Arabidopsis thaliana: one gene and its partner. The protein of the gene in region 1 interacts with the protein of each later gene in a pairwise test. Each region holds a gene or a part of one and is shown in the gene's direction. Other genes may lie near its edges.

What was found.
Region 2: the proteins of ALC (region 1) and ACI1 interact in a two-hybrid assay, tested with the Arabidopsis thaliana proteins (one study listed by BioGRID).

Annotation. Positions count from the first base shown.
Region 1 is NC_003076.8:26,784,551-26,788,563, reverse strand, and holds ALC (basic helix-loop-helix (bHLH) DNA-binding superfamily protein), read left to right. Parts: upstream 1-2,132; 5' UTR 2,133-2,225; coding exon 2,226-2,462; exon of another isoform or gene 2,463-2,574; coding exon 2,575-2,646; exon of another isoform or gene 2,647-2,736; coding exon 2,737-2,802; coding exon of another isoform or gene 2,803-2,880; coding exon 2,881-2,946; exon of another isoform or gene 2,947-3,040; coding exon 3,041-3,232; 3' UTR 3,233-3,458; downstream 3,459-4,013. Other genes in the region: AT5G67120 (RING/U-box superfamily protein), read left to right, coding at 1-100, 474-734; ICU2 (DNA-directed DNA polymerase), read right to left, coding at 3,460-3,600, 3,688-3,762, 3,833-3,952. UniProt on the Arabidopsis thaliana protein: Required for the dehiscence of fruit, especially for the separation of the valve cells from the replum. Promotes the differentiation of a strip of labile nonlignified cells sandwiched between layers of lignified cells.
Region 2 is NC_003076.8:150,721-155,246, forward strand, and holds ACI1 (ALC-interacting protein 1), read left to right. Parts: upstream 1-1,725; 5' UTR 1,726-1,854; coding exon 1,855-2,803; intron 2,804-3,240; coding exon 3,241-3,575; 3' UTR 3,576-3,747; downstream 3,748-4,526.

The DNA of each region.
Region 1 (4,013 bases):
GAGAAACTGGTTACAGTCATCGACAAATGAACAATTTGAAACAGAGTCACTAGAAGAGTATACAAATCCATCTTCTCATGGAGACATCTTCACTTACGAGGTATATTATATATGTTATAACTAGACTAGATTAAGTTTTGATATGCAAATATCTTCAAAAACTACTAAAGTGTTTACATCACATTTGAAAGCCTTCACCATTTTTTCATTTGTTATGAACATTGTATCTTAGAAGTTAGCACTTTAGAGTTTTTTGCAAGATAACATTGAAAATTTAATGCTTCCAGTATTGGTTAACTAGTCGGTTGCATGTGTAGTTTTCAAAGAAGTGCATTTGAATCCTAGATGTAGAAGAGATTAGGACTCTCTTTAATAAAAATTATATGTACCATTTTGGTTTCTTGATTCTAGAGTTGTATAAGCTGCAGAGTTTAGATATCGATAATTTTATGAATGAATCTTTTTTTTTCTAGGAATTATTGAGCATCACTGACGAAACAGGAGATGAACGCACTGGTTTAAGCGAGGAAGTGATTGATGAGAATCTAATAAGAAGGAAATATGAAAAGCGTAGCGACGATGAAACGAAGAGATGTGTGATCTGTCAGCAGAAATTGAAGGACAATGAAGAAGTTTCGAAACTGGGATGTGGGCATGACTTTCACTTCGGATGCATCAAGAATTGGCTAATGGTCACGAACAAGTGTCCTCTTTGCAACCGAGAAGTCGTTTAAATGTTTTATCAAGTTTGAAAGATTCCGTTTATCTCGTTGGATTTCAGTTTTTTTGTTTCTTTCTTTTGCTATGAACCATAATTACCAATATTTCCCTTTTTATCAAGTTAGAAAGATTCCATTTATTTAGATGGCAAGTTGGATTTTGATTTGATTTCTGATTTTGATTATTATCATCTATATATATATTTTTGCAGCCACTTTGTGAAATAAATTCTGGAGTTGGGATTTATTTACAGCGGCTGTCATTGGCATTTAATAATTGTTTTTGATAATTAGAAAGAAAATCTTCTAATTAAATATTTGACATTTAACAATCTTTCCAAAATCTCTCTACCTTAACTACACGATTAATTACTAAAATAAAACTTCTAAAATATTTAATATCATTTAATTACTACAAAATTATCATTTTTGATATTGCTTTTCTGCATGATTATAATCATCAAACCGTAGAGATATTTGATAACATTTAATTACTACAAAATTACAAAATATTTAGACAATAATTCATAAACATATCATAAATAAGATCACATTCATAAAATAAATGAGTTTTTTTAGAGGACGGGTTGGCGGGACGGGTTTGGCAGGACGTTACTTAATAACAATTGTAAACTATACAATAAAAATATTTTATAGATAGATACAATTTACAAACTTTTATATATATTAATTTAAAAAATAAATTGTTTTCGCGGTATACCGCGGGTTAAAATCTAGTTATTCTTATTTTTGCTATGAACCATAATTATTTTAATTACTATATTATATATATTTCCCTTTGGATGCATTAAAAAAAGGCTAATGATCAAGGACATGTTATCGTCTTTGTATTGACCATTATAATATCTGAATTTTATTTTGTGTTAAATAATCTCTCGAATAAATAATCTTTCGAAATGCATGCAGTTTTATTCACACTTTATCTGTGGACAACAACAACAACAAAAAAGAAGGAAAAAATAGATTTTTGTAATTTGTCAAAAATGGTGAAACTGTTGCGAGACCTTACTTTTCAAGTAATTGTCCATTTTCATGTTTAGTCATAATAATAATTAAATAGTCTATCAATGCTCTATCTTATCAATACTCTTATTTTTTCAACCGTTTCATTTACTGATTTTCATAATTTCATCCCCTCCTCTCAATTTAACTTATCACATTGAAAAAAACAATAAAAATGTATGTTTTTTATTTACTTGGTGGTCCAAAAATGCTTTTTTCCTTTTTTTTATTAGGTAAAAAATATAATATTATTAAATAAAATTGCTACAAAAGGAAACTGTTCACACACAGAGTGATGTGAGACACCAGATTCTGTCTATAGGGATTCGACACGCCACTCGCCTCTTTTAGAACCTCCACGCGCTTCTCTGAAGAACGTGATCTCACGCGTCCTACCTCCCCCGCCTATAAGCTTTACTACGAAAAAGCCACAGTGATAATTTTTACACACAGAGTAGAGCAGAGAGAGAGAGAGAGAGAGAGATGGGTGATTCTGACGTCGGTGATCGTCTTCCCCCTCCATCTTCTTCCGACGAACTCTCGAGCTTTCTCCGACAGATTCTTTCCCGTACTCCTACAGCTCAACCTTCTTCACCACCGAAGAGTACTAATGTTTCCTCCGCTGAGACCTTCTTCCCTTCCGTTTCCGGCGGAGCTGTTTCTTCCGTCGGTTATGGAGTCTCTGAAACTGGCCAAGACAAATATGCTTTCGAACACAAGGTATAAACTTAACTATTCTTAGCTGCAGAGATGCTTCACTTGGCTTTCCTTGTAAAAGAAAACAAAAACCAAAATTAGTCTCTTTTCTTTTTGGAATGGCTAAACACTAAAGAGAAGTGGAGCTAAACAGAGAAATTCGTTGAAGAGAAACATTGATGCTCAATTCCACAACTTGTCTGAAAAGGTTTTCTCTTTTATCTTCCTTTTAAGATTCTTAATTTAGAAAGAAGAAGAACCTTGAGATTGTAGTTGATTAGAATCTGAGTGTTAGCAGAAGAGGAGGAGCAAGATCAACGAGAAAATGAAAGCTTTGCAGAAACTCATTCCCAATTCCAACAAGGTTAATCAATCTTTGTTCGAATCAGAGATAGTGAGAAACATTGTTCTGATTGATCCGTTATCTTTTGTTTGTTTATAGACTGATAAAGCCTCAATGCTTGATGAAGCTATAGAATATCTGAAGCAGCTTCAACTTCAAGTCCAGGTTTTTTTCCTACTTACTATGATTATATACGTTCAAAGTCTGATTTGTAAATTACATCACTCAGATCATTAACTTGATTTACTGCATGATGCAGACTTTAGCCGTTATGAATGGTTTAGGCTTAAACCCTATGCGATTACCACAGGTTCCACCTCCAACTCATACAAGGATCAATGAGACCTTAGAGCAAGACCTGAACCTAGAGACTCTTCTCGCTGCTCCTCACTCGCTGGAACCAGCTAAAACAAGTCAAGGAATGTGCTTTTCCACAGCCACTCTGCTTTGAAGATAACATTCAGACAATGATGATGATCGGAATTCCTCTAGTACCTGCCAGACAGGAGTGAACAATGTTTTGAGTTTTAGCATTGGCCAGATTTCTATGTTCAGTTATAGTTATGCTAATAAGCTTTAGGAGTGAACAAAATCTGAGTAGTTTGATTATAATGATGTCTGAAGCAGATTATATATAAAAGACTAATTTACTTACATATGAGATGATTATTACAACTATCAAATGACTATGTCTGTGAGTTGCATCCATCCATAAGCACACCGGTCTCTACTACTTCGAGTGATTGCTGCTGCTGACTTAACCGCAGGTCTTATCTTCGTCATTGCTTTCTCTACTTGAATTCTCACGCCAACATCCATCTGTTATTTCAAATGGTACCGATAACTTTAGGGATATAGACAAGACAAATTGATATTAATAATATAACAAGGTTGTAAAGTAGAAACCTTTTCTAAAGAGCATTGTGTGTCTAAGATGTGGCAGAAGTATGACAGTTGCTTGTACAAGTCTGCTTCAGTGTACTGTAAAGTCAAGAGTTAGTCTGTGAAGCAATAGAGAGATAGGAGTTATAAGGTTGATGATGGTATATACCTTTCGTAAGAGGGTTCCGTTACAGTTAGGATAGTTTGGGCAAACTGTCCCCCGTTCACGTTCACCGAGTAGACGAAAGTTGGGGGAGCGGGTTGTGTGCTTGCATGACTCGTCTTCACACTGTTGAAGGCAAAATGTACAAGAAAACGTCTTAGCATAAATTAAGAAGGACAAATCACAA
Region 2 (4,526 bases), about 27 Mb from region 1:
ATAATTTGGAGAGATATGCTTAGATAGAAGAAAGAAACAGAAATGCATAATAATTGGTCGAGAGTTGATAGGGAATAAGGCAAGTCTCTTTGTGGCAATATTATTCACGCGCGTCAGACATTATTTAGATTTGTCTCTCTGCTTTCGTTGCCTCTTTTTCCGGTGTGAACTAAGCGACCCAAGTACTTTCTCCTTCACCTTTGAAAATGACGCCACGCATATCAGATTTTCTCGTGTTTCTTATTTTGAAAAAAAGTTGAAAAAGTTGAAAAAGGAAAAGTAAAAAAGAATCTGTAAATATTTTATACTACCATTCTCTTCTTTTTCTTTGTACACTTCGAATTTTGAATTTGGAATCTTTGATCTTGACGATCATGCCTTGCAAATATTTAGCTAGTGAAGCCATCAACTTTTTATAGAAAGATATTATTTAACATAACAATAGCATCATATCTTAATGAACTAAAAGAAGTACTAGCTACATTGTGTTACCCGTTGCGCATGTATTGTATCAACGAATGAAATTATAAAAACTAACGCTAACTAAATGGCCAAATATAATCAAACAGAAAAAACAAGAAGTTCTATATTATGAAACAGACTAATCGTGAGTAAATGTAATGATCAGATTAATCATACATTATTAATCTCTTAAACTCGACGACAAGAAAATCAATGAATACCTTTAAGTTAGTTGCTCTAAAGACTCTCTATATATGTTTATAATAGTAAAGCGAAGTAGATAGGTTTCGAAGAGGCCTTTTGCAACTTTATAATATTCATCTTGTAAAGATTCTAATCACTATTCAAAAGATTGATCCCGCCAACTTATTTAGTATCTGATAAAGATTTAGTCCTCTATATCTTAAAATGAATTGTTTTACCGTGCAGTGCACATTGAGAAATAAGCTAGAAGTTTCTTTTGTTGAACTGTCATTCTGGCTAAAATTATAGTTCTTTCAAAAAATTATAGTAACGGAAAATTTTCACATTTCAAGTTTGTTTAACATTACTAATCTGACTTTAGCTAAATTCTCATTTTATTTTAGAATTGCATGTGACATATTGGTTTGCTAACTATATACATCTACTTCAAAATTCAAGTTTCAACCTGAAGTTATATTCAGTATGTTTGAAAAGTAAATCACATATAGTAACATTTTGTTCAAAGCTTTAAAGCAATCAGAACAAAGTTTGACCATTTTAAATATAAAACTTACGTGAAGGAAAAAAAGTTGTTACATGACCTTTATTTTGAAATAATTGATGAGCATATCAATAGTATCAAAGTTTCTTTCAAAAGTATCAAAGTTTCTTTTCGTCCGTTGAGTTTCAAAAAACAGAATCATCAGAGCATATCACTTTGGATATAGCTTTTAAATTGATCCTGGGTACTTTTTCCTTTCTATGTTACCAATAATTAATCTATTATATATTATGTCATAAGATACATACCGATAAGAAATAAGTGAAATATAATGGTTACATCATTAACTGAAAACATATTTTATTCACTGCAAACAAATAAAATAACATAACATAGTAATTTTGGTAAGATCTTAAAATATCTGAAGTGACTTAATATGATTAATTAGATTGAGTTACCAATTAATATAAACTGAATAATAAACGTTTATTAAACTACAATTTCACTTAACATATCAAAATTTCACGATACTTTTGTTTACCCATATAGTTTTGCTTTAATTTAATTAGTTGGTGGGTCCTCGCAAATAATGAGAAATTGTGTGTTCTTCTTGTCCTTATAAATACCAAGAACTTGTTTGCACATTTTCACACACACTCCAACTTAAAGCACTATCATTATCACCATCATCATTATCAGCCATCACCATGACCCAACGAGCCAACCCTAAGACCGGCTGCCTCACGGCGGTAGTCCGCCGTCTTCTATGCTCTGGTAGCCAACAGACTCACCCTTCCGACAACATCCTCGACTCTGACGAAACACTCCAACTACTAATCTCTTACGAAGAAAACGAAGAGCCAAAGAAAGAGATCAAAACCGAAACCGAAACCCAAAACGATGACGTCTCTCTTCACCCTCCACCACCTCCTCCTCCTCCCAACGTTGTAGCCAAACTCATGGGGCTAGATCATCCCGCACCCGGATCAAAACGGTTCCGGTACTTTGATGATTCCGGTTCGGCTGTCACAAGGAGCAAATCGGTTAACTTCATGGACTACATCCTAAAAGGTCACGAGGAAGAAGAAGAAAACGAAGACGAGAAAGACGGTCAACGTCAGTGCCGGAGAGTCAAAGCTTCCGTTTCTTTCCGTGAGATAGTCCCAACCTCGGCGAGATGGAGCTCTAATAACCAACAAAAGAAACATGATTTCCTGCTGTTGTATCTTGACAAGCTTGACGAGAAGAGAGAACTTGTCGGATCATCGTCTTTTTCGAGGTCTAAAAGGTTCGAGAAGGTTGTGGAAGATTCCAAGAAGCCGCCATTGCCACCTTCGGCGCCGAAGAAGAAGGAGAACGAGAAAGTTGCTAAGAAGTTTAAAGATGAGCCGAGGAAAGTTGCGAAGAAGAAGAAGAGTGAGAATCGAAATGACGTTAACGGAGCCAAGAAAGTTCGTTGGTTTCTTTCTCCATCTAAGAGTAAGTCGTCGTCGGAGAAGACTGCGCTTCTAGGAGAATCAAAGAATATTCGGGCTGATGAGTTTATCGGAAAAGAGAGTGAGTCGCCGGAGAATAAGTCTAACGCGAGTCCGGTTTCGGTTCTTGATCGAGATCTTTATGATTATCTAATCCTTGACGATGATTACTACTTCTCAGGTGAGTCTACGAAATAATATTCAAACATTTTTATCTCTCGAACAAATATTTGAACTTAATTAATTGCTTTTTGAACCTTCTTTGAAATTTTGCGAAAAGAATCATCTCATGTGAGTAGTTTCCTACTTTAACTGCAAATGAGGTAAAAATTTGGTCATTTGGTCAACATTTTAACCGATTCAGTACACTTTATTTGAAATACTAAATAATAAGATTATTCAAAATTTGACCAATATAAGAATTTTCCTTAAACGTTGGATTTATTTGAAAAATGATTAAATTTAACCAATATAAGAACATTTTCGCTTTTAACATTTTTCTTGATTTTACTGTAAAAAAAGCTGCGAAAATGAGACTTTCTCAACATTTTCGAGAAATTTTATTTTTATTTGCCCAATCATATTTTAAACGTCACTTTAATTTGAAAAATAAAACAGGAGGAGATTCAGAAAGTGCATCGGAGTTGTCAACAAAGCAAGTAGAGACAGCAACAAAATCTTCATGTTCTTCATCACCAGCAAAAACAAAAACAAGTACCAAGAAAGAAAACAACAATAGCACCAACAATGATTCAGAAGAGACAGAGTTTATCACAAAACTAATGAATATGCTCTCAGATCTGTCTGAAGAAGACATGAAGTCTTCCACTTGGGTTTCTACTTCGTCAACTAAACCCGTTGACTTTACTCAGGTCGAAGATTTTTGTGTCGAATTTGGTCAAGAGATTCTTGACCTTGTTATGGACCAGCTAGTTGATGAACTCTGTATCTAGTTTAAATTCCCAATTATCAGAAATATGTCGTTTTAAAATCTTGTAATCCAAATGTTAACCAGAGACTCACAACAATCGAAATTTTCATCACTCCATATTTTCTAAAAGTGTTATGCGGCCAATATAAGTTATTGACCAGAAAAATTATGGTTAACATTTATGATTAGTACTAAAGACTATAATGTACTCGTCTTAAATAGTCCTATAGACAAATATACCTATCCAAAACACAAGTATGTATATGGCGAATATCACCAAATAAGCACAAGGATAATCTTAGTGACTCGAATACTCGATCATAAGAATGAAATTAAATTCAAATTCGATATGACGAATTATCAAATGCATTATAAATACATGTAGTGGGTCCAAAAACGGTCAAATCGGTTTTCTTCTGAATTTTGGAGAGCTCCGTAACTTCGAAATACGTACTGTCTCCTTTATGTCTATTTCACATGCAAATCATGGTCTCCTTCTAACGTTACTTCTTTGACGTTTTTTTGTACTTTTCTGTGTTTTTTTTGGGGGGTTCACATGTAAAATTCAAGAACATTTTCCCACTCTAAATTATTTAAGTTTCGAATTATAATTATTTCATTTAGTCATAAACTATTTTTTTGCCAACGAAAAAGTGGTAAATATTGAAGGTCCTTGTATTCGAACTGGTGACCTCACAGAGTTGGTCACACGGCTCTATACAATTGAGCTGACGCGGCGTATTAGTAATACGTGTTTTTTAAAATGAACGGATATATTAGTGTGAACGCGTTATAACACGGTTTCATGTTTTCGGTATTTTTATCTGTTGGTAGCTGTCTTGCAAGAGAAGAAAAGAATAAAAATAACAAATTCTTTCTTTACAATTTACTTATGAACAAAATAAGTTTTATATATCACACAAATAACGCGGTGAAGTAATGTGGGACAAATGTGAATTGAAAGTTTTGGAAT